Linked DNA regions of Lonchura striata. The protein of the gene in region 1 interacts with the protein of each later gene in a biochemical or structural test. Links are inferred from orthologs where the notes say so. Each region holds a gene or a part of one and is shown on either strand. Other genes may lie near its edges.

Region 1 (7,625 bases):
CAGTTTGTCCATGTTGTCTGTATCGCATTTCTCCCAGCAGTATCTTCCTTTTATTAACTAGTCTATTTCTTATACACATTAGTGGTGTTCCAATTACTGTGCAGTTTATTCAGCAATACACAAACAGATCTTATTACTGAGAAATGCGCCCTGCCTAATCCCTTATGTACCACAGGAAGCAAAGTTATATCAGCAAAAATCAGATATATTTTAAGAATATATCTGATTTTGTCCCAAAAAAGCCTGAGGTCAGTGTCTGTGCCCAGCTGACCACGTAGATTCTCCGGCAGCCAGGATGGATCAGGAGCTGGCTCCAGCTTCACAGCGAGCTGTGACAGGGCGCCACTGAAACCAAGGGCAGAGAAACCAACGGTGAAGGTTTTGGAACTAAGCCATCGTGGAAACAGTTCATTTTTTGAATTTGAATAGATGCAGCCCTGTGAAGTGCTCCAAAAATACCCCGATCCTTTTGCAATCATGTAGATTTCCTTTTTGTGTGGCAGGAATGATAAGTGCCATTAAAAAAAGAAAGGACAAGCACACACTCCATACCTTGACATTCCTGAAATGCCAGAGTTTAAGCAAACAAAAAAGCAGAGGCAGAAGGGCCCCTGAGCTGCCCTGCATGTCCCAGGGAGATGCTGCTGAAGTTGTAGGGAAACTGATTCACTGGGGGCATGTGCCAGCAGCAAGTGCCCTGTGTGACCCTGCTCTGGTTCCACGCAGGCTGAAGGGGAGGTGGCAGCTCTGAACAGACGCATCCAGCTCGTGGAAGAGGAGTTGGATCGTGCCCAGGAACGACTGGCCACAGCCCTGCAGAAACTGGAGGAGGCTGAGAAAGCAGCAGATGAGAGCGAGAGGTACGCTCCTTTTTTATTTTCTGTTGTGTGTCATTAAGTATCTGCATGTGCTACTGCAGGGCAGAGACTTGAAACTTTTTTACAAGCTTGATTGGGTAATTCTGTTAGCCTTGATGAACACGATGGGTCACTTTTAGGCTACAAATCTCAAATTCCACTTTGTGAAGTTGAGATACAAGTGCCAAAATACTTCTCAGTTAAACATGCTTTGATTTCTGCAGAGGAATGAAGGTTATTGAGAACAGAGCAATGAAAGATGAAGAGAAAATGGAAATTCAGGAAATGCAGTTGAAGGAGGCCAAGCACATTGCTGAAGAAGCCGACCGCAAGTATGAGGAGGTAAAAGGGAGAAGGAAATGGTGAAAGCTGTGGGAGAGCCATGAACAGTAACACTGCTCTTCAGTCTAGTCCCTCTGTTCAGTTGGCACTGGGCGATGCTTCAACCTTGCAACATTGCCAGCAAGGAGGAATTTTAATAGTGATTTGCACTCCTTAGGTACCTAATGCAAAAAATACTGCAAAATCTAACTAATTGGGGAGGGCTGTTACCTCTGTGGGTGCATGCTTTAACCTAATTTCCTTACTCCAGAGGAAGCAGGAACAGAGTACTTCTGAGTGCTTTCTGAAATCTGCAAGGAAGTTGTCCCAGGCTGTGGCAGGGGGTGGAACTAGATGATTTTTGAGGTCCCTCCCAACCCAGGCCGTGCTGTGATTTTGCAAATTGCACACTGGCCTGACAACTGGCTGTTGTCTTTTTACAGGTTGCCCGTAAACTGGTTATTTTGGAGGGTGAACTGGAAAGAGCTGAGGAGCGTGCAGAGGTGTCTGAAGTGTGAGTAACTTTCTAGAATATAGGAAATACCAACACTACATTTCAATAAAAATAATCTGGTAGGCAGGCATGTAGTTAGTACTTGCAGAAAAGTCTGTTTGCACACTGCATACCTGGTTTTCTTCTTTCACACTTAATTACTTCCTCCCTTGTATTTCTTAGACTCCTCCAAATCATAACAGGAACACCAGTAATTCATACTTCTATTTTCTCCTTCTAGTAAATGCAGTGACCTCGAAGAGGAGTTAAAGAACGTCACAAACAACCTGAAATCTTTGGAAGCTCAATCTGAAAAGGTTGGTTCTTTCAGTAAACTAAAGGATATGGGCAAAGCCTAAACTTGTAAATAGAATTCACAGAAATAAACCAGAAATAAAAAGCAGATGAGAGGTTTACCTGCCTGCCTGTGGATACCACTCCAAACAATCCTGAAGGTCTGCAGGAGAGCAGAAAAGCACGGAAATGGTGTTTGCAGCTGTTGTAAAAGGAAGAGTGCTTATAAATAGGTCACAGTTTCATAAACATTTATTATTGTTGCTACAATTTCCCTTAAAGAGTGTTTATTGTTTTCACAGTACTCGGAAAAAGAAGATAAATATGAAGAAGAAATCAAGATTCTCTCTGACAAGCTGAAAGAAGTAAGTTTGGCCACCCCCATGCTGGATGCATCTTAGGGCATAATCTTTCTAGGAGCATCCAGTGATGCTGTTTCAACTTTTTTAGGCTGAAACTCGTGCAGAATTTGCAGAGAGAACTGTTGCCAAACTGGAAAAGTCTATTGATGACCTGGAAGGTATGGAATGAGTCAAGTTTCTTTAAAGGTGGTCAGTTTAAAATCAGAAAACAAATTCTAGGAGTTGGGTGGTGGATGTAACGGGAAAGAACAGCAGCATTGGTCAGGCATATTGGTGGATGGGTGTGATGTGTCCACTGGGCACCTGCCCTGTGTGGTGGAAGTTCTCCTGAAAAAGGTTTTCTTCCATAAAGTTGGTAACAATGACCTGATTTTGGCCAACTAACAGATGGAGGGACTCAAGGGCTCACGATCCCCACCCTACTTAATCTGAAAACAATAATGAGATTACAAAAAGACAAAAAGTTCACATAGGTGAAACTTCTGACCAGGCAGCTTGGCGGGTGTTTTGCTTTCCTTCTGATACTCAACTACGCTTCTGTTTTCTTCTTTTGTTTTCCTCCCCAACTGCTTTGGCTGCTGTTGCTTTTGCCTGTCTCCGTTCTCCTCCTGTGGCCTCTTCTCTTGCCTGCATTTCTTGCTGCCTGTTCCTGCTGCCCTGGTGCTGACAGACGAGCTCTATGCTCAGAAGCTGAAGTACAAAGCCATCAGTGAGGAGCTGGACCATGCCCTCAACGACATGACCTCTTTGTGACCCGCCCCTGCGTGGGGACACGGCCTTCCGCTCACTGTGTTTTCTCAAGCTTTTCTTGCCTGTAATCCCTGTCACTCCTGTGCCACTTCCACCTCTGGGAACTGAGCTCAATAAAACATGATACCTCTACTTTTCATCTTGCAGGGTTTACTTCTGTGTAGATCACCTCAAATACAGTGGTGGCAACACCAAAAACACATTCAGCTGTATTGTTAATGTAGGCGAACCCAATGGGAAGAAATTACAATGTCTGACTCAATTTAGAAGGCTGAATGATTTCTTTATTATAACTATGTTAAAATACATTAATATGCTATATAAAAGCAGGATACTAAAACTCCATACTACTTTCTCTGACTCTAACTCTCTCACAACTCGTGACCCTCTCTGAGAGTGCAGCCCCAGGTGGGTTGGATTGGCCACCAGGCTCAAACAATCCTCACAGAATCCAACCAAGATCTCACCCCAGGTAAACAATTCTCCAAACACGTTCCAAATAGGAAAAACAAGGAGCAGAAATAGAAATTGTTTTCTCTTTCATTTCTCTCTGTGCACCTCTATGAAAAATCCTGAGAGGGAGAGAAATGTGCTCGCCACACAGCTGCTCGTGTGGGGTTGGGCAAGACATGGTCAGGATGGGGCAAACACTTGAATTTTGGTGTTCCCTTTAGTCAGTGAAAAGCTTTGAGTGCACTCAGTGTCTGCTCGTACTCCACCAGCCTGGTTAAAAACCTCTCACTCCAAGGAAAAGCCAGCAGGATGTGGCCTATAAATGACACAGTGACACATTAAAACACAGGTCTGACATGTTCCATGAGATGTGTCCAAAAAACTCCCTTAGGGATAGCAATTACAAAAAAAATGGCCCTGTTTTGATGATATAAAAGTGTCTTAAATATGAAGGTAAGTTACCCCAGGTTTTATTTAAAGCAAAAAGGCTAGAAAATAACATTATTTAAATCTTGTGCTTTTCTCCTTTCTCACCAGAAAAACTTGCTCAAGCCAAAGAGGAGAACCTGGGCTTGCACCAGACACTGGACCAGACACTAAACGAACTGAACTGTATATGAGTGGCTCAGCGCTGCCAGCAGGCGCCACCTGCCCCTGCCTCGCTCCTTCCCCTCTCTCTCTGTATCCCGGACAAGCCACTTAAGTTATGCCCGGCACAGCCGCACCGCGGGCCCCGGGCATCCCTGGGGGCCGGGGAGCCGCGCGGCCGTGCCGGGGCCGTGGCTGCTCTCACGGTTCCTCTGTCCTTTGGTGTAAGCCCCGGTGGGAGCTGCACCCGAGCGGCGCCGCCCCCGCTGCCGTTTCTTATTAAACAATTTCTCACAGTACCGCGGCTTCTTGAGGATTCTTGTACCGCTGGGGGTGTGACGTCACGGTGCGGGCAGGTACGGGATGACGTCATTGTGTTACCGCCGGGAAATGACGGGACACCGGAGGGGGGGGCCGATAGCCAATCGCAGCGCCGCTTACATCCGTCTCAGGTCCGCCAGCCAATGGCGGGCCGGCTCCGTGCGCTCTCCGCCGGGCTGGGCCAATGAGCGCGTGGCGGGCGGGGCCCACCAACATGGCGAAGACCTACGATTACCTGTTCAAGCTGCTGCTGATCGGCGACTCGGGCGTGGGCAAGACCTGCGCGCTCTTCCGCTTCTCCGAGGACGCCTTCAACGCCACCTTCATCTCCACCATCGGTGAGCGCCGCCCGGCCGCCATCCCCGCCGGGCCGCGTCCCGCTCGGGGCTCGGGCCGCGGGAGCCGCGGGCGGGCCCGGGGCTCGGGGCTCTCCGCCGGGCTCGGGGCTCTCCGCCGGGCTCGGGGCTCTCCGCCGGGCTCGCAGCCGTGGCGGGACACTCCAGACCGGGCCGGCGCCAGACCTCCCCGGAGCGGCCGGTGCCGGGAGGGAGCACTGAGGGACGCCACACCGAGCAGCGGGATTGAGGGCAAAGCCTTGGATTTGGCCGTTGGGCGGGAGCTGGGAGTAAAGAAATTGGTTTTCCTTTCAGGAATCGACTTTAAAATTAGAACGATAGAGCTCGATGGCAAGAGAATCAAGCTGCAGATCTGGTAAGGCTCCTGTGCTGCAGTCAGCGTCTGATCGCTGGGGCTGTGTGCTGTGCGTGGGGAGGTTCGGTTCGGTTCCTATGCGGTTGTGCTGCTCTGTGGTTTATGGTGTTTTAGAAGCCAAAAGGCAGCTCTGAAGAGTGCTTCAAATTAACTGAAGGCTTTTGTGGTGTTAACTGGAACTGAGCCCCGTGTTGTGTCTGTTGCAGGGACACAGCTGGGCAGGAGCGGTTCCGGACCATCACCACCGCCTACTACAGGGGAGCCATGGTAGGGGCAGCTCGGGGACAGGGGGGACAAACCCAGCTGGCTCTGACACAGAACACTCACAGCTCTGCTCCAAGTGCTGCTGGAGCTGTGCTGGGATGTTGGATAATACCATTTTCTTGACTTAGAGATGGGGTAACTGAGCGGTGTTTCAAAAACTTTCATTTCATTTCAGTCTCATGAGAAGGGTGAGACAATACAGATGTTATAATTCACACCATCACAATCAGAAGCCAACTATTTCCTCATTACAATGCACTATAAGTGTTTCTTGGCTTCCCAACTTTTTACCACACCGTGTTGTAGATACATTAAAACCAATCATCTAAAACTACCTCTCACAGGTCCCACTACAATATATTTTCTTTAATTCTATTTCTCCAAAGTATCTAGTCTTATTTACAAAACCATATTTTGAAACTTTTTTCTAGCTCAATTTCTCTCTCAACAATATTCTATTCTATAGTATTTCTAAGTCAGCATTTCTTATCTCAAAGTTTGCATTATGTGTGAGCTTTCTGTCAGGCCCTGAGAACTCTCTACGAATCCATTTCCCACACTGGGATGATCTGGGACTTTGGAAAGGCAGCTTCCTCCATGTTTCACTCTATAAATACATGTCCTGCACACCTTATCTCACTGCCATTAGCTGGGAACCAGTTATTAAAAATAGCCACTGTTGAGTTGCTCCTCTCTGCTGTGGATAAACCTTTAACTCCTGCTGAAACAGTCTTTCTTTACCTTTAGGGCATTATGCTAGTGTACGACATCACCAATGAAAAGTCTTTTGAAAATATTCGGAACTGGGTGAGGAATATTGAAGAGGTAATTTCTCTCTTTACTTATTACTGACTGTTAAAGGTGTCATTTCTTCCCATGAAAATAATTGCTTCAGAAGCATTACATTTTCTCATGTGCTGCAGGGAACTTGGAAGATAAGTGGGATGGAAATCAGTAAAAGCTTTTGGAATGCCTTGGCTGACAGTGCTTTGTTGTGAGGGCTGTAGCCCCTGTACTTCTGAGGGCACCTAATGTGACAATTTCCTACCACAACAATTGATCCAAGAATTGCCATGGTGCAGGTTACATCCTGGGAAGAAGGGTTGGGGGAGCCTGGAAATCTGGGGAAGATTCTCAGGACTGGCATCTCTGTGTTGGGTACTCAGTGGGTGCCTCACCTGTCTGACAATGTTTGTCTACAAAAGCCAAGCCTGAGTTTCTGGTCTGTGTTTGTCTCAGCACGCTTCTCCAGACGTTGAAAAAATGATCCTGGGGAACAAATGTGATGCAAATGACAAAAGACAAGTCTCTAGAGAGCAAGGGGAGAAGGTAAGTGCCGTGGCTTTGATGTATTTTGACTTAGGCTTTTCAGAGTCCAAAACCTGGCCTGCTGACTGTCTGCACGTGCCATGGTACCCCTGTGGTGTTCCTGAGTGCAGTGCCTGAGCATTCCCCAAGCTGCCATGGCAATGCTTTCCCCCACTGGCATCAACAGCAGAACCTGTGTTAAGTATTCTTATCAATTATCTAACAGATGCAAGGCAACCAGCAGGACTTCTCTAAAAGGATGCTAGAGTTGGACATGGATAAATGTCTGTTTTGGCTGAAAGCCACTGAGACAAGGTAGATGGGATTGTCTTTTCTGATGTCAGATGTTACTTAGGCGAGGCAGAGATTTTTTCTGCACTGTGGTTGTTACAAGACTGACAAGGTATCTATGCAAGAAACGAAAAAGAGCAACCTAAAAAGTGTGCAGAGTGTAAAAGAGCAGAGCAAAGACAGTGAGAACAGATGCCAACTGCAGTGGGATTTAGTTCCTAATTTTTGTTCTGCATGAGTAAATCCCCAACTCCACTGCTGGTGGCAGCAGGGACAGATGCTGTGCCCAGGACTGTGTTTGGAGCTGTTCCTGCAATTGTTCAATAATGTGCAATATGCTTTTGTTCAGCTTGCTGCAAGTTTCGGGATTAAATTCATGGAGACCAGTGCAAAAGCAAATATAAACATAGAGAATGTAAGTACTGCTGCCTTTCTCTTGTATTTCTTGTCCTCTTTGTGCAAACCAGCAGTGTGGGATGCAGAACTCCATGGTTGGGTTGTTGAGCACTTTCCTGCAGCAGAGACCCTGGCTGGGGGTGGCAGTGTGGCTTTGGGGCTCAGAAAGAAGGTTGTGGAGCTAGAGAAGGAGCATTGAAACCTGGAGCAGAGAGG
Region 2 (7,340 bases), on another chromosome or scaffold:
CCCGGGACCGCGAACGGACTGCCCGGGACGCGAACGGGACTGCCCGGGACTGCGAACGGACTGCCCGGGACGCGAACGGGCTGCCGCGGCCTCGGGGATCGCCGGCACCGGGAGCGGCCTCGGGGATTCCCTCGGCCTCAGGGATGCCGCTCGGGCACAGCCCCCGCCGGGCCTGACCCCGCTCGGGGCTCGGCAGGATGGCAGCCGCGGAGGTGCCCGCGCTGGCCACGGAGCGCAGGTTCGCCCAGCGCCTCAGGTGAGGCCCGGGGCAGCGAGGGCAGCGGGGCCTGTGCTCCGGCACGATGGGGGCAGCGGTCCCCGTGCTGTCCGGGGCCAGCCGCGGGCTCTGAAGGGCCTCTCCCCGCAGGGAATGCCTGGAAGAGGAGCGGCTCCTGGACGGGCGCTACCGGCTGCAGCGGCTGCCGGGCGGCCGCGTGGCCGTGCCCGTGCTGGAGGAGAAGCTGTCGCAGCTCTGCCTGCCCGCGGAGATGCCCTGTGAGCTGCTCCGGATCCAGGTTGGCACAGCCGGCCGGCTGCGAGCCCCGGGCGCTGTCTGAGCCCCGGGCCCCCGCGGCACGGCCCTGCCGCAGGATGCTGTCCCCTCCAGGGCCGCCCGCCGCCGCCCGCCGGCCCGCAGGCTGCTCCAGGAGCTGCGGCGGCTGCTGCCCGCCGGCTGGCCCGCCGAGCTGGAGCGGGACCTGCCGCACGCCTGGCAGCGCCACGGCGACCTGGTGCTGCTCAGCGAGGACAGCTTCAGCCACCCGGCCTGGGAGCGCCTGGGTAAGCGCTGGGACACGGGTGAAAAATCCAACCCTACAATGCTAACAAAGATTCGTAGGCAACGGTGTGTTTATTCACAGTGTTGTGGATGCCCTTTAATGGACATGCACACTTCTGAAAACTCTTATCTTTTTCTATTATCATGACTAATTTCTAGTCAGGGTAATAAAAATTATTATGAAAATTCTAGTCGAGGTAATTTCCTGCATGCATAGAATTTTACAATAGGTTCATGCATATTCATTCTGCTGATTTTGTGTTATATTTACAGTTAGTTACACTTCTACTTAGTTTTTGTTAGAAGGTATAGAAAACTTTTGGGTTACTCTGCTTTTTAAATCTGAGGAGTTTTTCTTATCTCTTCTTTAGTTAAGACAACTTTGCTAGTGCTGTAGTTACTAGACTAAATAACATATTTCACTTAAGTTAGTAAGCTCAAAGGAGTGCATTTTACTTAAATCTAAACGAATTTCTGCTCTGTTAAATTTTTACTGTGTCTCACTGCCCGCGCCTCCCGGGGTGCTGTGTTGCAGGCCCGGAGCTCTGGGAGACGGTGGCCTCGGCTCTGGGGGCCCGGCGGGTGGCCAGGCGAGGACGGGTGATGCCGGACGGGATGCGGACCCCCAGCGTCACCCTGCTGCTGGGCCAGCACGGCTGGGTGGAGCGCGTGGACAACGGCATCAGGTGGGCAGGAGATGCAGGATGCGGCTTCTGGGGAAGGGGCTGCCCTCACCATCTGGGCCGGGTCTTCCAGGTACACCTTCGATGTGACCAAGTGCATGTTCTCCCCGGGCAACATCACGGAGAAGCTGCGTGTGGCCTCACTGCCCTGCTCCGGGGAGGTCGTAGTGGATCTCTATGCAGGTAATGGGGACGGAGGAGGAGCAGGACAGGTGCTGATGGCATCCAGGTAGACAGGAAATGTCATTTCCAGCTTGGAATGAAAAATACTCAGGCTTAGAGCTCCTATCTTGTCTGTGAGGCCTTCAGCTACACTGGCACTGCTGTCCTGCCTGTGTCCCTGCAGCCTCTGGACACTTAAGATGTCCTGTTCTCAGGCTCTGTGCCTTGTGCTGGTTTGGGGAATCACTTTGATCCAGGGTAAAGATTTGCCACTGTTTGTGCTTAAGGAAGTTAGTGCTTCCAATTTGTGCCACACTGAAAGGACAATGCCACCCACAAAACTCCTGTGGATTAATCAAAAGAAATGGTAATCTGGACACTTCTGCAGAGCCAGACAGATCTCAGCCTGGTGGCCAAAGACTGAAGGTTAAATAATCTCCTCTAAACATTTTTCAAGGCAAAATTTGCTTTTGCACAAGAGGGAGGGATAAATTCCCATTTTTCCAGTGTTTGGGCTTTTTCCAACCCAGAGCAAAGCCGAGTTGGAGAGGCAGGGTGTCAGTGTGCATCCTGCCCTGCCCTCGGGGAGGAGTGTGGCTCTCTGGAGGTCCCTGTCCCCAGTCAGTGCCACCTCCTGCCTGCAGGCATCGGCTATTTCACGCTGCCGTTCCTGGTGCACGCGGGAGCCGCCTTTGTCCATGCCTGTGAGTGGAACAGCCACGCCGTGGAGGCCCTGCACAGGAGCCTGGTGCTGAACGGGGTGCGGGACCGCTGCCGCATCCACGGCGGGGACAGCCGGCAGGTGAGCGCTGCCGCCGGCCGCGGGAGCCCTTCCCGCGGGCATCCCCTCACCTCCGCTCTCCTCCCAGCTGCAGCTGCGCGATGTGGCGGACAGGGTGAACCTGGGGCTGCTTCCCAGCTCGGAGGAAGGCTGGCCGGTGGCCTGCCGCGTCCTGAAGAAGGACACGGGCGGGGTTCTGCACATCCACCAGAACGTGGAGGCTCGCCCGGCGCACGCCGCGGTGCTGCTGGCTGAGCGGGGCTCCGCAGAGGCAGCCAGCTCCGCGGGAGAGGCGTGGCACCCGGTGGAGCACAGTGAGCAGGAGGCACTGGGGGCCAGGCTCAGACCCGAGTGGCAGCGGTGGGCTGCAGCCACGGCCGCACGGATCCAGGGGCTGCTGGCAGAGCTGCACGGGCGGCCGTGGTGCTGCAGCATCCTGCACATCGAGGCAGTGAAGTCCTACGCACCACACGTGCATCACCTCGTGCTGGACCTCGAGTGCCGGCCTGTGCTGCCCGTTTAGCGGGACATGGGCACCGCTGGGGCTCCAGATCCCTTGGAAGGCTGGTGTCAAAGCACGAGGGGCAGAGACATGCTGCCAGTGTGTCCTGCTGCCAGCCTGGATGTGCCTTATGTTCCCTAGTTCCCAGGTGGCAGCACTGCCCAGCAGTGCCTCCCTGTGCCAGGGCACCCAGGGTTGTGCTCCACACGGCAGATCCCTTCATGATCCAGACAAAGATGGAGCAAGCTGGAGTGCAGACTGCCAGTGTTCTGTCCTGGCTCTGCCAGCTGCTGCCCAGGTCTTGGACACGTGGTAGCACCTTGAGCCCCATTTTCACACAGGAGAGAGCCACAGTGCTGAGAAACCTTGGGTTCCTGCTGGGTTCATTTCGGCAAGTCAGGGACAAGCTTGGTGCTTGTATTTAGCAGCATGCTTTTTTAATGTACTTGAAGCAAGTCTGTTCATCCTGTTTCCTTCCTATCTTTTTTTCAGAAATAAAGATGTTTCTCACCACCTCTTGGTGTCCAGTCAAAACGTGAACTTTGGAGCAAGCATGGGGGTCTGGCCTGGGGACTTTGGGTCCCAGGGTGGTGTGCGGAGGGGCTCAGGGAGCAAAGCCTCTGTGGCATTGTCTTCCTGCAAGCCCAAAGCCCTCTGCATATTTATTGTGTACTCCCGATGGAGCGAACCCCTGCCGCACAAGGAAGTTCCCGCTGGCCCTTTGATGTCTCCGTGGTTTTTTCCACTATCAGTGTCCCATCACTTCCCACAGGGCTGGAAGCCTCCGGCTCTCCCATCCCTGGGGCGCGGCCGAAAGCGAGGGCAGAGCCGCGTCCTCTCGTTTGCCTTGGGGCTGCACGCAGGTGGCTCCGCGCTGTCCTGCGTGGCGAGCAGCCGCCTCCCCGCGGGTGGAGCCCCACGCCTCGGCCAGCCGCGAGTGCTCGGGCTCCCCGGTGCTGTGCTGCGGGGGGCAGGGACGAGGCGCCCTGCGGGGACGGTATCTCTGCCACGAAGGACAAGGGCAGGGCCGGAGCCTTGCGGCGGGAGGACGCCACGGCCGCGGCCCTGGGCTGCTCCGCGGGCACGCCGGGGAGTCCCCCGCAGTTCGGGTGTCGGTGCGCTCTCTGCTCGTCGGGAGAAGCCACCCACCCAGTCAGGGCCATGGGGCACCGGGGACACCGGCCCGCGGGGCTGGAGCCGCAGCTGTTCCGGGGCTGCTCGGGCGGGGAAGGGCTGGAGGGAGCGGGCACCGCCTCCCGCACGGGCCGCCCCGTCCGTGCCGCAGGTGCGGCCGCCGCGGCTCCTTTAAGGCACCGGCGCCGCCCTCCGCTGCCGCTGTCCCCTCCCGCTGCCGGGAGGCGCCGGCCGGAGCCGCTGCAGGTACCGGGACGGTCGTGGGATCGGGCGGGGGTACCGAGGGTTCCTCCGCGGACGGGGCAGGACGGGGGTCCCTCGGCTGCAGGGGAGTCGGGGGTAGCCAGGGGTCCCTCTGTGGTCCGGCGGTCCAGCCGCGGTGTCCCGGGCGGGGGCAGTTCCCAGCCCCGGTGGCCGCGCTGCGAACGCGGCGCTCCCGGCCCCGGATCCCACTTTTCCCGACAGAGAGGAGCCTGGGGTCCGCCCCGCCGCCCCCTCCTCCCCGAGGGCCGCCGGAGCGCGGCTGCGGGCACAGGAAGGTCCCTGCCGGTTCCGCCGGGCCGGGCGGGAGCGGGGAGCGGTGCAGCCCCCGAGCCAGCGCCGCGGCTCCGTCCCGGCTGGAGCGGCCGCGGCCGCCCGGCTCCTGGTGCCGCCGCCTGCGAGCCGGATCCGGCCGTGCCGCCCTGGTGCGTGTCCGCTCCCGGCGGCTCCTCGGGCTCGGGCAGCTCCGAGCCCCGCGGCGTTCGTGGGAGGGGCGGCCCGGGGCGGCTCCTTCCTGCCGGGGCTGCCCGCGGGTGCTGCGCGTCAGCCCGGTCCCACGGAGCCGGCTGAGGTCAGCGGGGCGGCGGGGCTGGCAGGCGGCCCGAGCCCAGCCCGGGGCAGGGCGGCGGAGGCGGCGGGCGGGCCGGTGTCCTGGGTGCCGCCAGCGCCGGGTCCAGCCCCGGCAGCGGGCACGGGGCACCTCGCGGGGCGCGACCCGCGCTCAGCAGCTGGCATGTCCCTAGCTGGCGTGCGCTGAGGGCCAGCCATCGCGGGCGCAGCGATGTCGGAGGCTGTGGACCTGTCCTTCCTGTCGGACGTGGAGAGAGATCTGATCCTGCAGGTCCTGCAGCGCGACGAGGAGCTCCGCAAGGCAGAGGAGAGGAGGATCAGGTGCGAACGCGGCTGGAGCTGGGCAGGAGCTGCCTCCCCGCTATGCTCTGGAGGCGGGTGGATGAGCGAGAGCGTGGGTGACGGGTGTCGCCGGGGTCCCGGGGCGCCTCTGACAGCTCCCGGTGTCGGCTCTGGGCAGGCGCCTGAAGAACGAGCTGCTGGAGATCCGGCGCAAGGGAGCCAAGCGGGGCAGCCAGCGCTACAGCGAGCGGACCTGCGCCCGCTGCCAGCAGAGCCTGGGCCGCGTCAGCCCCAAGGCCAACACCTGCCGGGGCTGCAACCACTTGGTGTGTCGGGACTGCCGTTCCTACAGCCCCGGCGGCTCCTGGCGCTGCAAAGTCTGCACCAAGGAGGCGTGAGTAGCCAGGACCAGTGGCAGGCACATTGTGCACATGCCTCCTTTCCCCTTCCTCCTCTCAGTTGCCTCAACTTGTTGCCCCATAGCCAGCCTTTCCTAGCCTGGCTGGTCCTCCCCAGTGCAGGGCAGCTTGCTCTGCTGTCACTCCTGTGTTTGGGTGATGGAAAAATGGGTCATACCCCTCTCTTGTGTCTCCTTCATGTCCTGCTCCTTCACCTGAACTAACTGCAGCATCCCCCTGTGCCCTTGCACAGCTGTGTTCCAAGCACCCCAGGCTTCCTCCCTTTTGGCTTCCTCTGTCCTACAAAACTTGCCTTGCTGCCGTGTTTGCTGAGGATGTAGCTGAGCCTGTCAACTGCCCGGTGAATGGTCCCTGCCCAGTCACCTGCTGATTTTGCCCACTGTGCCTGTGTTCTCGGGTTGTGGCAGCACCGAGGGTGGGTTGGGGCACAGCTGACAGTCCCTACTGCCCCTGACTGCCCCCACCACCCCTGCCCTGCAGTGAGCTGAAGAAGGCAACGGGTGACTGGTTCTATGACCAGAGGGTGAACCGCTTTGCCAACCACCTGGGCAGCGACATGGTGCGGCTGTCCCTGCGGCACAGGCCGGCAGGTAGGGGTGCCACAGCAAGGCCTTCTCCCACAGCCCAGCCACGTGGGATGCTCCAGCTTTCCCCAGTGCATCTCTGCCCAGTGTGGAGCTGGATGGGAGCAGCTCCTGCTCCAAGCAGTGAGCTTGGAGCAGTGCTCCTCATGATGCCTCTCTTGCAGCCAACAAAAGAGAGACTGTGGGATATACTCTCCTCCAGAAAGCCCAGCTCAGTGAGCCTAAAAGCTCCTCTGCAGTCCGGCAGCCGAGCCCCCCTGCACCCCGGGAGGGGTCCAGGTAGGAATCCCTGCTGTCCCCCGTGCTCCAGGCAGCAGCTCTCATCTGCTGCAGGTTTGAGAGGAAGCTCTGCCCTGTGCGGATCATCGGTGGTGCAGGAGCTCTCTCAGACCGACCTCCTCACCAAACAGGACATACCTGTGGTTTTGCTTGTCTGCAGTTTGTTTCCAGATGCCTCAGACCCTAGGGATGGCAAAAGCGACACAGAGTCCATGGAAAACATGAGCCTGGACAGCTACAAACCTAGTCCTGCTGATGTGGGCGGCAGGTGAGAGGATCCCAGGGGGGCTTGTCTTTGGCAAGACTGGCTGGCAGAGGATGGGACCTTCATCTGAAGTGTGTTTTTCTCAGTCTAGTAGGGGGAAGCTGGCTCCTCTGGCTGGGCTGAAGCCTGTCCCTGGGCAGGAAGATCCTCTGCTCCCAGGCTGCTACGGGCAGCTCAAGTGGCGCTTCCTGGCCAGCACTTGCTCTGCCAGCTGTGCTTGTGGTCTGGGACAGACCTTTCTGTGTTTGCCACAGGAGGAACTCCCTGGAGAGAGCCATCCCTGGAAAACAGGTTGTTGGGCCAGCAGGACCTGCTTCCTCCAGCCTGACCCTCCCTCTCCGCTCCAAGAACGCGTTCTCTGACGGGCGGGTGCGTGACGCTGCTCCGACAGGCTCAGCCCTGTCCTGGGGCGTGGGGCTGGCACCCCACAGGGCTCCTAGCCCTGCCCTGCTCTCAGGGGACTCTTCCTTCCCAGGATGCCACCGTGGGGACCCGCAGCAGCACCTTGGTGGATGAACATGAAATGATATTCCAGAAGAACCCCCGGCGGGTGGTGCGGCCTGCGGGTGAGAGATGCTGACACGGCCAGGGGTGGGCAGCTCCTCCTCCCTGGGCTGGGAAGGGCTTTCAGTGCAGATGG

What was found. The genes of interacting proteins can lie anywhere in the genome.
Region 2: the proteins of RAB8A (region 1) and SYTL4 form a complex in vitro, tested with the Homo sapiens proteins (2 studies listed by BioGRID). The link is inferred for Lonchura striata from reciprocal best matches to the Homo sapiens genes RAB8A and SYTL4.

Annotation. Positions count from the first base shown.
Region 1 is NC_134630.1:4,669,342-4,676,966, reverse strand, and holds the start of RAB8A (ras-related protein Rab-8A), read left to right. Parts: upstream 1-4,624; 5' UTR 4,625-4,653; coding exon 4,654-4,777; intron 4,778-5,089; coding exon 5,090-5,150; intron 5,151-5,356; coding exon 5,357-5,417; intron 5,418-6,161; coding exon 6,162-6,239; intron 6,240-6,653; coding exon 6,654-6,743; intron 6,744-7,362; coding exon 7,363-7,428; intron 7,429-7,625. Other genes in the region: TPM4 (tropomyosin alpha-4 chain), read left to right, coding at 727-860, 1,082-1,199, 1,622-1,692, 1,913-1,988, 2,268-2,330, 2,416-2,485, 4,068-4,150. UniProt on the Homo sapiens protein: The small GTPases Rab are key regulators of intracellular membrane trafficking, from the formation of transport vesicles to their fusion with membranes.
Region 2 is NC_134616.1:897,573-904,912, forward strand, and holds the start of SYTL4 (synaptotagmin-like protein 4), read left to right. Parts: upstream 1-4,247; 5' UTR 4,248-4,286; intron 4,287-5,044; 5' UTR 5,045-5,082; coding exon 5,083-5,192; intron 5,193-5,331; coding exon 5,332-5,547; intron 5,548-6,052; coding exon 6,053-6,162; intron 6,163-6,320; coding exon 6,321-6,435; intron 6,436-6,595; coding exon 6,596-6,703; intron 6,704-6,954; coding exon 6,955-7,069; intron 7,070-7,175; coding exon 7,176-7,266; intron 7,267-7,340. UniProt on the Homo sapiens protein: Modulates exocytosis of dense-core granules and secretion of hormones in the pancreas and the pituitary. Interacts with vesicles containing negatively charged phospholipids in a Ca(2+)-independent manner.